Linked DNA regions of Diceros bicornis minor. The protein of the gene in region 1 purifies or fractionates together with the protein of each later gene. This does not show direct contact. Links are inferred from orthologs where the notes say so. Each region holds a gene or a part of one and is shown in the gene's direction. Other genes may lie near its edges.

What was found. The genes of interacting proteins can lie anywhere in the genome.
Region 2: the proteins of CUL4B (region 1) and DCAF10 purify together in Homo sapiens (affinity purification with mass spectrometry; 4 studies listed by BioGRID and IntAct, with this or other methods). This does not show direct contact. The link is inferred for Diceros bicornis minor from reciprocal best matches to the Homo sapiens genes CUL4B and DCAF10.

Annotation. Positions count from the first base shown.
Region 1 is NC_080781.1:111,043,220-111,051,004, reverse strand, and holds the start of CUL4B (cullin-4B), read left to right. Parts: upstream 1-4,764; 5' UTR 4,765-4,779; coding exon 4,780-4,807; intron 4,808-5,561; coding exon 5,562-6,086; intron 6,087-7,785.
Region 2 is NC_080767.1:6,188,764-6,195,905, reverse strand, and holds the start of DCAF10 (DDB1- and CUL4-associated factor 10), read left to right. Parts: upstream 1-4,107; coding exon 4,108-4,610; intron 4,611-7,142. UniProt on the Homo sapiens protein: May function as a substrate receptor for CUL4-DDB1 E3 ubiquitin-protein ligase complex.

The DNA of each region.
Region 1 (7,785 bases):
AAGCTGTCAAACTTGACTAGATCTTAAATACGTAGTCATCGCAAAGCAGGATTGGCCCCAGGCAATATTGTGAGGTCAACAAAATGTACTTTCTCCCCTTCCATTGCAATACCTACTCCTAGTTCTGTTTACCTCCAGGCACTTAGGACTTTTGTATTATCCTTTGTTCCCAGGAAGCATTCACCTTAAAGGGTCAGGAACTAAGTCTCTCTGGCTAATTTTCATGTGAAAAAAAGGATTCCTAGAGAAGGAGGCTATTTTATCGAAGGGAATGAATAAATTGTGAAATTTCAGGCATTAAAGGGAGTACAAAGGCTTATCAGCCCCATTCAAATCACAGAGGTACTTACTTCACTACAGCTGTGGTCTCAACCCTGGAGGTATGTAGAATCACCCTGTGAGATTCTTAAAAATCCTGATAATTGAGGCCTTACTCCAGAGATCTAATTCAGCTGGATGAGGTTCAGACCTGGGCAAAGAGGTTTTTTAAAAAAACTCCCCAGGCAATTCTGTCATACAGTCTGTTGTACAGTCAGAGTTGGGAACTGCTGATTTAAACCTAAGTTGGCCCTACTCTTGAGAAAAAGAAAAGCTGAATGCCATTGGAAGATCAAACCTTAAAGCAGGGTGGGGGTGGAGGGACTGTGGGGGTCATTGATAGAGTGAACAGAAGGTTAAAAATAGGCCCAGCAACTCCATAATAAGCAGGTGCTTGGCAGTACCAAAGGAAGAAGTAACCTGTGGCTGATCCGGTCCCCCATTCCCAAACCCCTAGGGAAAATGGCCTGGCCCTAACAGTTAAGGCCTTAAATCTGCTTTCCAGATGGTTCACTGGTATGACAGTAGATAAAAATCTCTGAGCTAAGGTGCTAAGTCCTCAAATGGCTGATGTACCTGAGTCAGTAAGTCTCCAGTTGATGAGATAATTTTACATAGAAGATAAACGATTTTGTTAAAAATATGAGATCTGTGTTATTTATTTACATTTTACTGAGCACCATAGGTTCAGCATTTGTTATTAAGTTCCTTTTGCTTTATAAAGCAACTCCAGGATGGGCAAAGGGTGAATTCACATAGTGTAGTGGGGTCATGTTTGCTTAAGTTTGGCCTCCCCAGTCCCCCATAGCTGCCCCCTGCTGTTGCTCGCATCACAAAGCCCTTATTATGATATAATGGTTAATATCTCACCACCGCTTGGTTTGCCCTCTCAGTGTTGCCCTGCTTCAAAGATGGTCCTTCAGAAGAGTGGATAGAGAACCATGGACCACCATTTGCTCAGCAGTTGTCTTTTCTGGACACATTCTTAAATAGTGCTTGCTGCAGAATCATCTTTGGTATTCTCCTGAGCAAGCAGTATCTCCTATTTTTAAGGAAATTCCCACACATGAATAACAAGGCTTCCAAGAGTGTCTGTCCATCAACAAGCTCCTGCTCTGAGATGTCTGGAGAAGACCCAAACACAAGCCCGCCGGGGAGTCCCCGTGATCAAAGCGAAACAGGTTATACTTTTTAGACAGAGACCTACAGAAATAGGGGAATGGACATTAGAAAAACTAGTCCTCTGTCTTTGTATTTCTTCTTTTATGTGTATATATTTACCTTTATAAATAGCTACAGATTGATTTATTTACTTGATTAAAACAAGGCCAATAATAACTATACCTCATCTGGTAGCACTGTAAAATTTAATTAATGTTTCTAAGGTATGAGTTGAACTCACAAGATGAAAGATTCTATATATGTAATATATGTTAAGTGTCCAATCTGGTTTAGTCTGATAATGGCCATAATTTATGTGCATGCCTTGATTATTGTGGTTTCAGTGAGTCTAACCTTGAAAAATGTATTTTAATGTTGAGAATGTGTTTAATGTTGGTTGGCAAATGTTTGGGTGTATAGAACATATGCTTATGTTTTAGCTAGCCCCAATTAGTTGATTCTTGATGTAAAAGATGTTTTACAAAGCAACATGGGAGGTTTTTCGTCTTTTTAAATTGGTCTGAGTGTCCAAGAAGACACTAAGTTGGTCTGTGCCACAAAATGTAAATGTTAAATGTTTAAAATTATTTATTAAAATTAATTATTAAATTATATATCCATATTAAGATGTGCTAAATATGTGACGATTCACCTGGCACAAAATAAAATGAGGTTTTAAAATGTCAAAAGGAAGATTATTAATCACTAAGAAAAAAAAAAGAAAAAATATTTTTTCCACAAAATTCACTTAAGGATATTTCATGGAAAACTTAAATAGTAGATTAGGCCCCTGGGTCATTTAAAGTGAGCTAGAGCTCAAGAGCCAAGGGTCTGTGCTTTTAGAACTAACATTTACCTGGGAAGACTGAAGGGCTTAGATAATCATGTCAGATTGGGAGCTATTATTACTAGAATGTAGTTGAATATTAACAGGACTCAGCTATCCTTTACGTTAGTATAAAAGTTTATCTTTGTATGGCAAAAGCAGTTTTCTTTTTATCTTTATGCCCATTCCCTTTCAGTTGCACTAATATTTATAATTTTTAAAATAGCTAGCACTCCATACACCTTTCTAAGGAATATAATTACATGAATTAGAACAAGGCCCACTTTTTTTTTTTGTCTTGAAAAGTCCTCAGCGGGTCCATCCATACACCCTTCTAAGGAATATAACTATATGAATTAGAACAACTTTGTTCATTAAATCCTGAAAATTAGCCAGTTAATCCTCCCTTATAAAGGCACAGCATTATTTTATTCTCATTCAATGAAATATTCAATTCAATAAGTATTTACTCTGCATTTACACAGTTGATCAGCATCGTGTGAAATGTGAGACACAATAAAGGAGGGTTTAATGTTTTAGGACACCTTCCCTGGCCTTAAGAGTTTACAGTCTCATTTCAGGCAGCAAGAACAATAGGGTACATTGAAAACAGATAGGAGTCAATCTTCTCCCTTTCAGGCCTCTATCTCCATTCTCTGTAGCCTAGGGTCCTAAGTGCCATTAGAGCCTTTCTCTCTGCCTGTTGTCATCAAACAGCACAAAGCTGATAGTGGCCCAAGGTGGTACCTTTTCTAGGAGGATCTGCATTTTAACTAGTCTAGGAGGACATTTTTAAAGTCTAGGAGGACTTTTCAAGACAAACAACAAAAAAGTGGGTCTGTGTAAACAAAGTTAGAATATTGACTTATTCTTACCGTTCTGATTTGTCTATCTCAAGCTATACAATACAAACTGCTTTTACTCCACCCACAATCTTGTCACGCCCCTGCTTTTAAAAGCCCAGCTTGCTGGCTCATCTCCATGCTGCCTACCCTAGCCTACAGGGTAGACTCCAAAATTTTTGGCTTTGTGTGCCAGGCACTCTTAAGCCTCATCTTCCTTCCTTCCAACCAGACATCCTACTTTCCAGCACTTTCCATATGTCCACAAACAGGCCAGGCACTTTCACAACTCCCTGCCTTGCCCGTGTTTCCACTTCCCAGAATGCCTTTCATGCTCTCCCCTCTTGTCTTTTTGGCAATTCCTACTTTGAGACCCAGCATAAATATAAATTCCTCTGTGAAACTCTGACTATTCCAAAATTCCCCCAAATTTCTTGTTTCACCTGTTCCCATAGCACTTTGTACATTTGTTATAGTACTGTTATGGAAATTAGTTTTGAAACTATCTTCCCCCACTGCCTTCTCAATGGCAGGCATCTAGTATAGTGTCTGGCATACAAAGTCGTTCAATACCTGCTTGTTGAATGTTTCTGCAGTTACAATGATCAACAGGTTGGCAAATTTAGTTTTATTTGACATTGTGTTCTCCCACCCCTCCCAAATGCCTTTGAATTAAATAAAAACTCCCAACAGGGAATTTACAAGGTTTATTGTTGCCAATTTACAGGTTTGTTCTCGTGAGTAATCTATTTTAAAATTTGGGCTCATGGAATACATTGGTAGAAAACATTGACTTTTGCCAATATTGTATTGCCAATATTATACACTTTGTCTCAAAGAAGTGTATAAACTGAGATTTGGTAAAAGAAGTGGCTTTGTTTAGTCTGTAAATTACTAGGTTAATGACTGATGGGGGTCGGGGTTGGGGTTGGTCCTGGGGGTTGTGTCGTGTGGGGTGGGGGTCGTGTTAGTTACCTTCCTGTTTCTTGGCCTTAAAATGCACGTTTAACTCTGGCCAGCTATCTTAGAAAATGCTCCTGGTAGGAAGGGAAAAGGATTTGCAGCTATATTACTGAGAAAGGTATCAAAATTCAGGCCCTATTCAGTATTGGGTCAGTGGTGTCCTTGACATAAAAGAGAAACAACTTATAGATCAACTGAATCAAAAACTCCCTTTCTTTCCATCTAAGCTCTTTTTCTTTTCCTATCTTAACATGACATTCCTCCTTAGTTGGAGGCATAATGGCATCATTATATTTTCTTCCATTTCGGGTTACTCCCCTCGCCTTGCAACTCCTCCTTATTCCTTTATCTCTTTCAAAGTTTCCATTCTCCGTTCCCTTACTTTTTACTCCCTCCCTTCCTCTCTCCCTCCTCCTCTTTTTTCCCAGCTAGCTCACCCCGCCCCTCACCGTCACCACCGCCCCTCCCCTTCAGCCTCCTTCCCGCTCCTTCTCCCGCCACCCCCCCTTCACCCGCCCGCCTCACGTCCAGAAAGCTCCAATCAGGAGCTCCGAGGGTGCCCGGAGGCCCGCCCCCTCCTCCCTTTCCACTTCTCTTCCCCCCCTTTTCTCCCTCCCCCACCCCCCCGCTCAAGTCCTGCGGACCTGGGGGCTTCGGGATCTGGGCGCTATGAAAAGTGTCTGCCCAGTCACTTCCGGTAAGGGCGTTGCGGCGCGAAGCTTCCCGCGGGACCGTTAAGGAGGGGTGGGAGTTACCGGCGGGCCGGGTGAGGAGAGTGCTGCCAGGGACGGGGAGCGGGTGAGGAAGGGGGAGGGAGAGCCAGAGCGAACGAAGGAGCACGAGCGTCTCGGGCGCCTTAGCCGCCCCTTGCCCATCGCCTCCCCGCGAGCCAGCTCCCCCGCCCCCCGGCGCCTGCAGTGCTTCTCTCCACCCCCCACTCCCGGGGACAGACGCCGCCCCTCCCTCGCGGCCGCGTGACCGGAAGTGGCGCCATCTTTAGCCTCTTGTGCTATTGACAATAACAAGCCCCGGTCCTCTCCCCCTTCCCCCTCCCCCCAGCCCCGGCATCTCCCCTCCCAGAGAGAGGGAGAAAAGGAGGAGGAGCTGCCGCCTCACAGACTCACTGAGTCGCTCCTGCAGAAAGGGGGGAGAGAGACCGAAAAGCAGGGGAGGGGGACGGCACGGCCGTTTACCTGTCTGCCTCCTCATTCGTTCTCCCCCCTCGTTCTGCTCACTCCTGGTGTCAGCCTATCCGCCTTCCCAAACCCTCCCATTCCCCCGGTGTAGCCCCCCCTTCACTTTCCTTCTCGTCCTCTGTGTTTCTCCTCTCTTCTTTCTTCCCTTCCCCCTCTAGCACTGCCACCTTCTCTCCTACACGCACGCAGGCATATAAACCTAGGTTTTTGATGCTCCTCTGCCTGTTGACCCCGCTATTTTCATGTTTCCAACAGGTTTTTCTTCCCCCAATCCCTCAGCTGCTGCTGCTGCTCAGGAGGTCAGATCTGCCACTGATGGTAATACCAGCACCACTCCGCCCACCTCTGCTAAGAAGAGAAAGTTAAACAGCAGTAGCAGCAGTAACAGTAGTAACGAGAGAGAAGACTTTGATTCCGCCTCTTCCTCTCCTCCTTTACAACCCAGGGATTCGGCATCCCCTTCAACCTCGTCCTTCTGCCTGGGGGTTTCAGTGGCTGCTTCCAGCCACGTACCGGTACAGAAGAAGCTGCGTTTTGACGACAACCTGGAGTTTGTAGGGTTTGATGCGAAGATGGCTGAGGAATCCTCCTCCTCCTCCTCCTCCTCTTCACCAACTGCTGCAACATCTCAGCAGCAGCAACTTAAAAATAAGAGTATATTAATCTCTTCTGTGGCTTCGGTGCATCACGCAAACGGCCTAGCCAAATCTACCACCGCCTCTAGCTTTGCTAACAGCAAGCCTGGCTCTGCTAAGAAGTTAGTGATCAAGAACTTTAAAGGTAACCAAGGCCAAAATCCATAATCACCTACTAAGGATTTGACACTTGAGTGGTCACGTGCTCTATGTTAATATATTAAACAGCATAGAGGTGGCCTAATGTTTTATGCATAATCAGTGAGGCAGAGGGAGGTCCTTTTTTGGGGGGGTGGTTTGTATCCTTGTGCTGAAGTATGCACTGGGTGTTTGTGTGTAGTATTTTGAGGTCTGTCTCAGCCTATTGTATCTAATCTGTCATTCCTGATAACATTGACCATCGGTATGATTGATCCGGATTTTACAGGTGAGAAATTTGTATTCTAAAGAGGTTTATTTATTTCAGGTGCATAGTGAGCCTTGGCACTGCTGGGATTTTTATTTTTATGCTTCAGTAGGCCACATTCTCCAGTCCCTAGAAATGCAGGTAGAAATGGTGACATTTTCATGCTCAAATAAGATTTATAGTTAGATTTATAATGTTGAATACTGTATTCTTGACACTCATTATGGAAGCAGTATTTGGAGAAAAATGTTTATGATCTCTGCATTTCTTCCCAAAGGTAGGGTTTGGCAGTGAAAAATAATGTGTATACACAGAAGTAGTAACTGTGTACCACTAGTCTAAAGATAGGATCAAGTACTGTATCTATTTTTTTATCACTAAGATGGGTTTTAAAGTACTAACCTGCAGCTTTTAGGAAAATTTGTTCCTTTTGTGTTTCAGATATGTGATTGAGAGTATTATGAAGGCATCGATACAAATATAAAATCAGCAATTTAAAAAAATGTAATTGAGCTGAATTACTTTTTATCCGTTGACTGTGTTTCTGTTTTTCTGACTAACTTTTTCAACACCCTTAACTGGCAGGTATTAGATGCTAAAATGTTTATTAAGTGGAGAAGTAAATGAATGAACTAAAGTAATATTTACCAGATAAGTGCCTTGTGGCTAGATGTTAGTATTGAGAAAATTAGATTTTCCATGCTTGTGTTTTCAACATTAGTGTGGAAATCAGGAATGTGCTCTATTTTGTCTCAAGCAGGGGGTTATAGTGTTATTTTTAACCATTTTTTTTCTATCACTCCTCTCCCATCCCCAGGATCTCAAGAGTGTTGTAATATTTCTGATTTAATAGTAGACTTTTCTGAAGTAAATATGAATTCTGATTGACTAATGTATTCACTGTTTCACTTAAAATATATCGATTTAATAGCCAAGGAGTTTTAAAGAGATGAGCTGTGATCCTAATTGCATTTGCATACTGGTTTCAGAGATTTTGTTTGTTTGGGTTTTTTCTCTCCCTCCTAAAATAAAAACACATTATTAAGGCATTTGGATGTTTTCATTTAAAAAAAGTACTCATTGCTGGTCAATGAATTTTAAACTAAAGCCTGGATTAAGATGTTCCTTTTCATTCTGAAAATGCTACATAGGTTCTGGAGTCATTTGGATGTTTTAATTTTTTAAAATTTTACTCTGCTCAGAAATGCAGTTTAAGTCAAAACCTGAGTTAAGATGTTTCTCTCCATTTCTGTAGATGCTGCATAAATGTGGGGGGTCAAACAGACCTGGATTAGAATCCCAGCTTTGCCATTGACTAGCTATGGTGACCTTGGGCAAGCCTTACTAAATGAATCTTCCAGCCTCAGTTTCCACAGTTGCAAAATAGGCGTAATAATACCTTCCTCAGGGCATTATTAGGAAGGTTCGGATATTTATA
Region 2 (7,142 bases), on another chromosome or scaffold:
AGTCAGGCCCTTTGGGTGTCAGAGGTCATGCCAGTTCTTCCCAGAGAAACAGATTGAGGGTAAAGACACAGCGAACATGGGTTTGTCACCAAGCTTACAAAGTCCTGCTGGTCCCTACAGTGAAATTGCTGATCCTCCGGGCTGGGGAACAGAATCATCCATTCTCTGTATTTATTCCTAAGATTGAGGGTCATTAATCTTCCCACCTCCCAACCTTCCCTTCTGACCCCACCTGAGTGGAGATGTTGCAGACTGTTCCCCAAAGGCCTCTGTTGCCAGCCTGAAGGTAATTTCAAGACAGGTACATCATCCCCTTTGCTCCACTGAGAGGCCCTTGCCTAGTCGCAAGACCTTTGCTCATCCAGGATCAGTCTCTCAGGCATCACCTCCCTAGTGACCACAGGGTGTGCTGTCACACCATGGTTTGATGAACTACTCTTCTATTTTTAGGTGTTTAGTGGTTTCCAGTATTTTGCTTCAGCAAGAGTAATGATTATTAGTATAGTCTTTGGAATCCAGTAAACTTAGATTCAAATCCCAGCTCTGCCAATCTCTAGCTGTGTGACCTTGGGGAAGTCATTTCACCTCTCTGAGCTTCAGTTTCTTTGCTAATAAAATGGGGGTGATAATGACAGTACTACTTCCTAGGATTTTTATAAGAATTAAATAAGATAATGAATATGAAGCATTGAGCACATTCTTAGCACATAGTAATTGCTAAGTGTCAGCTATTAATTTTGCAAATATTGTGTCTTGTTTGGGATTAATTGGGGACATAGGGATAATTAGCTGAGCTTCTGAGCTTTTCTCCTATGAAAAGGTTGGGATTTGGGGTCCTTATGTACTCAGAGTCTCCGAGTCTTGGTTCTGAGATTTTTGATGCCACAGGTGTCCAGAGGAGAAAGAGGTGGTTGAAGTTGGAGTAAGCAAAGACCTCTTGGCAGAGGTGGTGCTGAGCCAGAGTTCCAGGTTTGCATTCCATTGGACTTGATCAAGATACTTATCCATCTGGAAAGTTTATTTTGGCCTGACTTTGCCCCTTTCCTCTAACCTTCGGTTTTTTCATTAATGCCCATTTCGTTAGGCCCTGTGTTTTATTGGCTGGCCATATTGTCATGAACAGAGATTCTGCTTCTGATCGTGTGTTTTCTTGCAGGTCTGGGTGAGCTGGAGAAAGCCTGACCTCCCTGCTCGGGAAAAGGCAGTGCTGGAGTTTGCACTTGCTATTTCCTGAGCTGATGACATAACAGACAGCCATTTCAAAAAGCTCGAGGTGCATGGCTTAAACCAAGAAGATACCTGGGATATAGCTGCCATTTCAGCTTTTTATGCCATGTCCAACCGCCTTGCTCATTTTGTCAGTCTTGTTCCAACAAAGAATTCTATTGGATGGGCAGAACCAATGATGTCAAAGACATGAGGAGTAAACTTGCTGCTCTCAAAGTATAAAAGCCTGAATGGAAAGGCCAGTTTTTACATTCCAGGCACATTGCATTATAAGACATCAGTTGGGAAGTAATTTTTAAAAAACATCTAGTCAGCGGATAGGGAAGAAAGTAAATAAATTTGCTCCCTGCCTGCTTGATGAGCTAGGTCCTAAGTGTTGGGGGTATCCAGCGACATGGGATACCTGGGCCTAGGGGAAACCTTTGCCAACCGTTTACTTTTGTTGTGATCTAAAAGGAGCATCAGGACAAACAGTTCAGAGGATGCTTTAGGTATTTATGATGAACTGATATCTGTGAATTTCAGCAATTGAAGTTGAAAATTTTTTAGCTTTCAAAACTAGTGTTATGTAGAAGTTGTTCTATGTAGACTGATTTGAAATCAATTCCTGTTAACATGGTTGTAATTAAAGGCTCTCAAAGGCAGTGGGTAAAAAGGAGCAGGCACAGTTAAAGTTGTTCTATCTTTAGTGCCTTCTCAGTTAATTAACCCCCAGTGATTTTTTTTTTTTAATGATGGGTGGTAAAATCACGGTCATCTCAACAGAATTTTAGTCTTTATGTGATTTATTCTTAATTTAGGTTCTAGTAAAATTTTTTGGAATGAGTGAGCACTCACATTTTATGTAGAAGCATAAGAAAAAAAAACCTGGCATTACTGAATGACTTGTTCTGTGTGTTACAACCACCACTGTCTTAGGTTTGTGGTTATCTTAACTTTTCAAGAATCATGCTCATTATCTGAGAGAGGTACATGCAAACCTACAAAATGTTTTTGTTCCCATTTGGCTTCTCTAGATTCTCTAAATTGTCAATGAACAGTTCTTAATTAGTTTGGGGACTATAATGTGTTAATTTGGAATTGCCTGAACTGTGAAATCTGATTATCTTGAGCCAGCACAAACTCTCATTTTCAGAGCTTGTGTTTTTCTGTTGAAACTACATCTTAAATACCTTGGAATATGTAACTTTTTAAAATTGACTTTTATTTTACTTATTTAAAAAGTTAATAACATTGGTGAATGTATCATGGTAAGGTTTTGTGGACCATAAAATTTTACCCATTGGCCATAACTTGGGGTCAAGCAGAGAGCCTCTACTAAGTATTTGTTGCAGCCAGAAGTTGTGGGTCATTAAGGGACATTATTTGTTAATCATAAAACAGACCTCTACCCCTTCTGCTCTGTGGTGGCAACATGGGGAATATCTCCAGAGGAACGGCTGCCTTGATCTTCTCTGAACTCAGGACGCTTCCTTCTTGCCCTTTTTTCAATCAACTCATGGACAGGAGAGCTGAATAAACTAACTTTCCTGGTGGGAGGGCGTGCTGAATGTTCAGCCCTCTCTGAATCTCATTCCCTTCCTCCAGAGATCCTTCAGACCTGACCTCACAGGATAGATCTTCCTACAAAGATCCTCTAGATTTATCCTCACAGTCACCAAGTGTGAACTTTCTACAACACAGCTCTTGATCAAGGCCTAGGAAAGTTGTCAGTTCTTATATCTACCTCTCCTTGTAACTCAAGCTTTCCTTTATTGAAGACTCTCCTTCCTTCCCCAAGAAACACCCCAATTCCTTTTTTTTTTTTTGAGTAAAATTGGCACTGAGCTAACATCTGTTGCCAATCTTCCTCTTTTTCTTTTTTCTTCCCAAAGCCCCAGTACATAGTTGTATATCCTAGTTGTAGGCTCCTCTAGTTCTTCTATGTGGGATGCCTCCTCAGCATGGCTTGATGAGTGGTGACGAGGTCCGTGCCCGGGATCTGAACAGGAGAACCCCAGGCCACAGAAGTGGAGCGCATGAATTTAACGGCTACACCACCCGGCTTGCCCCTTCTGCAAACAGTTTTATGTATTTATCTTCAACAGCAGTGGTGAAGGGCCTTGCATCTGTCATGCTCTCCATGCCCTGCCTGGCAGATGTAAGCACGATTGACGCTGGGCTCTATTGCCTGTAAGGTTGATTTGAGTTGGGTCTCCAGCTCCCCTCAGTGGCTCCTGGCTGGATATACCTCCTTTCTGCAGAGAGGAAGGCTTTGGCCTTGATCAAGTCTTGACCTACTGGGCAGTCGCTGGGAGTTGGGCAGATATTCAGGACACCAACAGGCCCCATTTTCCAGGCCCTGTACAGACCAGGGCTTTTTAGTACAGAAGTTGACCTGAGTCCTTAGGTCCTGGGCTGAGTAGGCAATACACCACGCCACCTTACTGTGCGTGACCTGCACATAATATTGGTAATTTCTTCTCCTCGCAGATCTCAGAGTAAAGTGGGGATAACAGAATCATACCCGGCCTGTTAGACTGACTAGTCAGGCCCACTCCTCCCCGCCAGGCACAGTCACGGTCACTGACAACTGCAGACTGACTGTCACACGCGTGCCCTGATGCTGACACTGCCCCATACAGCCCGGGCCCTGGGCATCTTCAGTTGCGCACACAGCCAGTCAGTCGCTCCCGACCTCTGTCCTGTGGGCTGCGGCACCCGCGGTCGGGCGGTGTCCCCGCTTTCGCGGTCCCCGGCGGATGGCTGCCGAGGGGCGGCGCGGGTTTCCCAGCCGGCGGGGTTAGGCCGCCGCACGCCGGAAGTGGCGGCTGGAGGGGGAGGGCTGAGGTGTCGGCCGGCGGGGCAGCGGCCCGGAGTGGGGGGGCGGGGGTGTGCGTCATGTTTCCCTCTGGGTCCAGTTGTCCCGGAGGGGACAGGGCGGAGGAGCCGGCGCCCCACCGGGGGCCAGCGGCCGCCGCCGGGCCGCTCCCTTCCCCGCCCGCGCCGCCACAGCCCGGGGCTGACGCGGCCTGTCCCCCGTCGCCCTCCCGGAGCCCTCGCCGCGCCGGCGCCCCCTCCCTGGCCCGGGCCCTGGAGTCTCCGGCTGCCGCCGCCCAGGGAGAGCCGGCGTCGCCCTCCCCGCCGCGCCGGCGGCCCGGGCCAGACTGCGGGGCCGGGAGCCGGGGCCGCCAGGGCCTCAGCGGCGGCCTGGGCGGCGCGGGCGCCCGGCTCTTCGGGTGGCTGCGAGAGCGCAGCCTGGGCCGCGGGCTGTTCGTGGACCCGGCGCGGGACAACTTCCGCACCATGACGAACCTCTACGGCTCCATCCACCCCGCCGACTCGGTGTACCTCAGCACGCGCACCCACGGCGCCGTCTTCAACCTCGAGTACTCGCCCGACGGGTAAGCGCGGCCCTCCGCGGGCGGGCCGCTCCGCCCGGCTCTGCGCCCGAGGCCGGCGGCCGGGGTCGCCCGGCGGCGCCGGGGTTGGCGAGGTGGCTGGGCCGCCGGCCCCGTGCCGCGGCACTCTCTGAGGGTCGGAGGCCCCGCCGCCGTTGAGGTGGGCAGGCCCGGGACCCGCTGTCACCTTCAGGACGCCGAGGCTCCGTGAGGGAGAAAGCCTGAAGCCGCACGGGTCCGTCAGCCGGTCCAGAGCGCGGGCTTTCTGGGACGCAGTGGATGCTCAGGAAAGACGCCCCTTTCCCGTCACCCGAGGCTTGCGTTTCCTCACCTAGGCTTGTGTCAAGGGTCGGGCGCCTGCAGAGTCCCCGTACCCTGTGACCGACTTGCCCCGAGGGGACAAGCGTGTGTTCCCTGGCTCTGTAAGATCCTAAGACACTGCCGAGAGGTGTCTTATGATGGGGCGCATTGGTGAAGTTCCCAGGCTAGACTACGTGCTTCTGGTAAGGGTGTCCAGCCTTCTTCCTGGCTGATTAAATATTTCATGTTTGGCCTCAGTTTACTTTGGAGTATGCGGAATTTTCAAAATAATATATATTTTTAAAACTTTGTTTTGTGAGTACACAACCAAGTTCAACAGCAGTCAAGGAAAAAAATTACACTCAGTTCCATCGTGAGACAACATAGTTAATGTAACTCTTACCCATCAAGGTCTCTGGATTCCTAGTCATCTGCTTAGTTGTTCATTCATTCGTTCCCTCATTCAGCAAATATTTGTTGAGCACTTGCTAGTTCCACGTGCAGAGGTGAGCAAAACTAGCTAATGGCACTGCTTTCATTGAGCTTGGGACTATTAGTTCAACTAATAGTAATAACCATACTAAATAATTCATAACGTATATTTACAAATTGAGATAAAGACTTGAAGGAACCTGTTGTGGACTAGGTTTTCAAGGTTTCCCTGAGGAAGTGACACTTAACCAAGATCAGAAAAATGCATAGGAGATGAATTAGTCAAGACAGAGTTGGGGAGGGGATAGAAGTATTTCAGATGGAGGAACTGGTATGTCAAAGAGCCTATGGTTGGAGGGGCAGCATGTCGTGTTAGGGAAGCTGAAAGACTGTAGGTTAACAAACAAAAAAATTTTGTTAAAGAAAGACCTAAAATATGCCAAGGAAGGAGCAAAGCAACAGAATCTGGAGTCACTGTGAGCAGGCACACCTTATTCCTTTTCACAGATGCAAATGCTTCTTCCTAATCATACACGGTGCTGGGATCTCTGGAGCTTCTCCTTTAGTAGTTGGGTAGAACTTGTAGCAAGGAATGTGAACCTGAATTCAAAGAAAATTGGTGAGAGGAGAAACTATTTTGCTGGTTTGTTCATGAAACCTCCTCTCCCCACTCCTTCCTCCAAGCCCTATTCCTAAGGCTCCTCCCAAAATACCAGGAGTCTGTTCCTCTCTTCTCCATATCTCAGTTCCTCTCCTCCCCACCTCCTATCTAGTCTGTCAGGCCTTCAGAAGTAGCTGTTTCTACTCTTTGAAGGTGGGATTTTATGTAGAGGGCAAGAGAGGTAGAATGAGTTATGAAGAAGGAATCTCCATTGCCAGTGCTATTAGAATGAGGAATATATTACTGATAGTTCTTGTTTGAATCTGGACTACATTTTCCCATAGAAACATTTTTGTAAAAGGTGGTTGGGTATTCTGGTACTTAAAACAAAATAATTTAATAATGTTTAACTATGCAATTAATATATACTCATTGTAGAAAACCTAGGCAATAAATGAGCAAAAAGAAGCTAAACATCATTTATGGTCCCAGAGATTGAATGGATATCCAAGGAAATTTTTTCTTTGTGTATGTTTATTTTAATATAAACATGGAATCATACTGTTGTGTAGCCTGCTTTTTTTCATGCAATATATTGTGAACTACCTATGTTAATAAATATATTTCTAAAACATTATTTAAAATTTTTCATTAGTTTAAATAAAACCTCTATAAGCAAATATTTTATATTTATGTCCTTATGATAAATCCCTAGAATGAGTCAAAGATTATGAAGATTTTGGAGACCTGTTATTCAATTACTCTCTGTGACAGCTGTACCAATTCTGATTCCTGTCAGACACATATGAAAGTGCCTGTCTCACCTTGCCAACATTGCACACTGCCATTTTTTTTCATCTATGTTAAGATGATAGGTGAAGAAAGTTCAGTGTTTTAATTTTTTAGTATTACTACATCTACAAATAGGCCCCCAATTTTTATAGGACTTAAAGTAACTTTATAGAAAAATGACATATCTGTGTTAAATGAGATAATTTCTCGTATCCTTCAGTTATATATGAGCTAAATCAGCTTACTGGGTACCATAACCACTGTCGCTTACAAAGACTTCTCAGTACAGAGAAGGAGAGATGACACAGAAGGTAAGAATTAAAATTATGAATTTAATAGAGGCCAAACTAGAGAGAATTTGGCACTAAAAAAGAAATGAAAGGGTACGTGGGCTAAAAGGTAATTTGTAA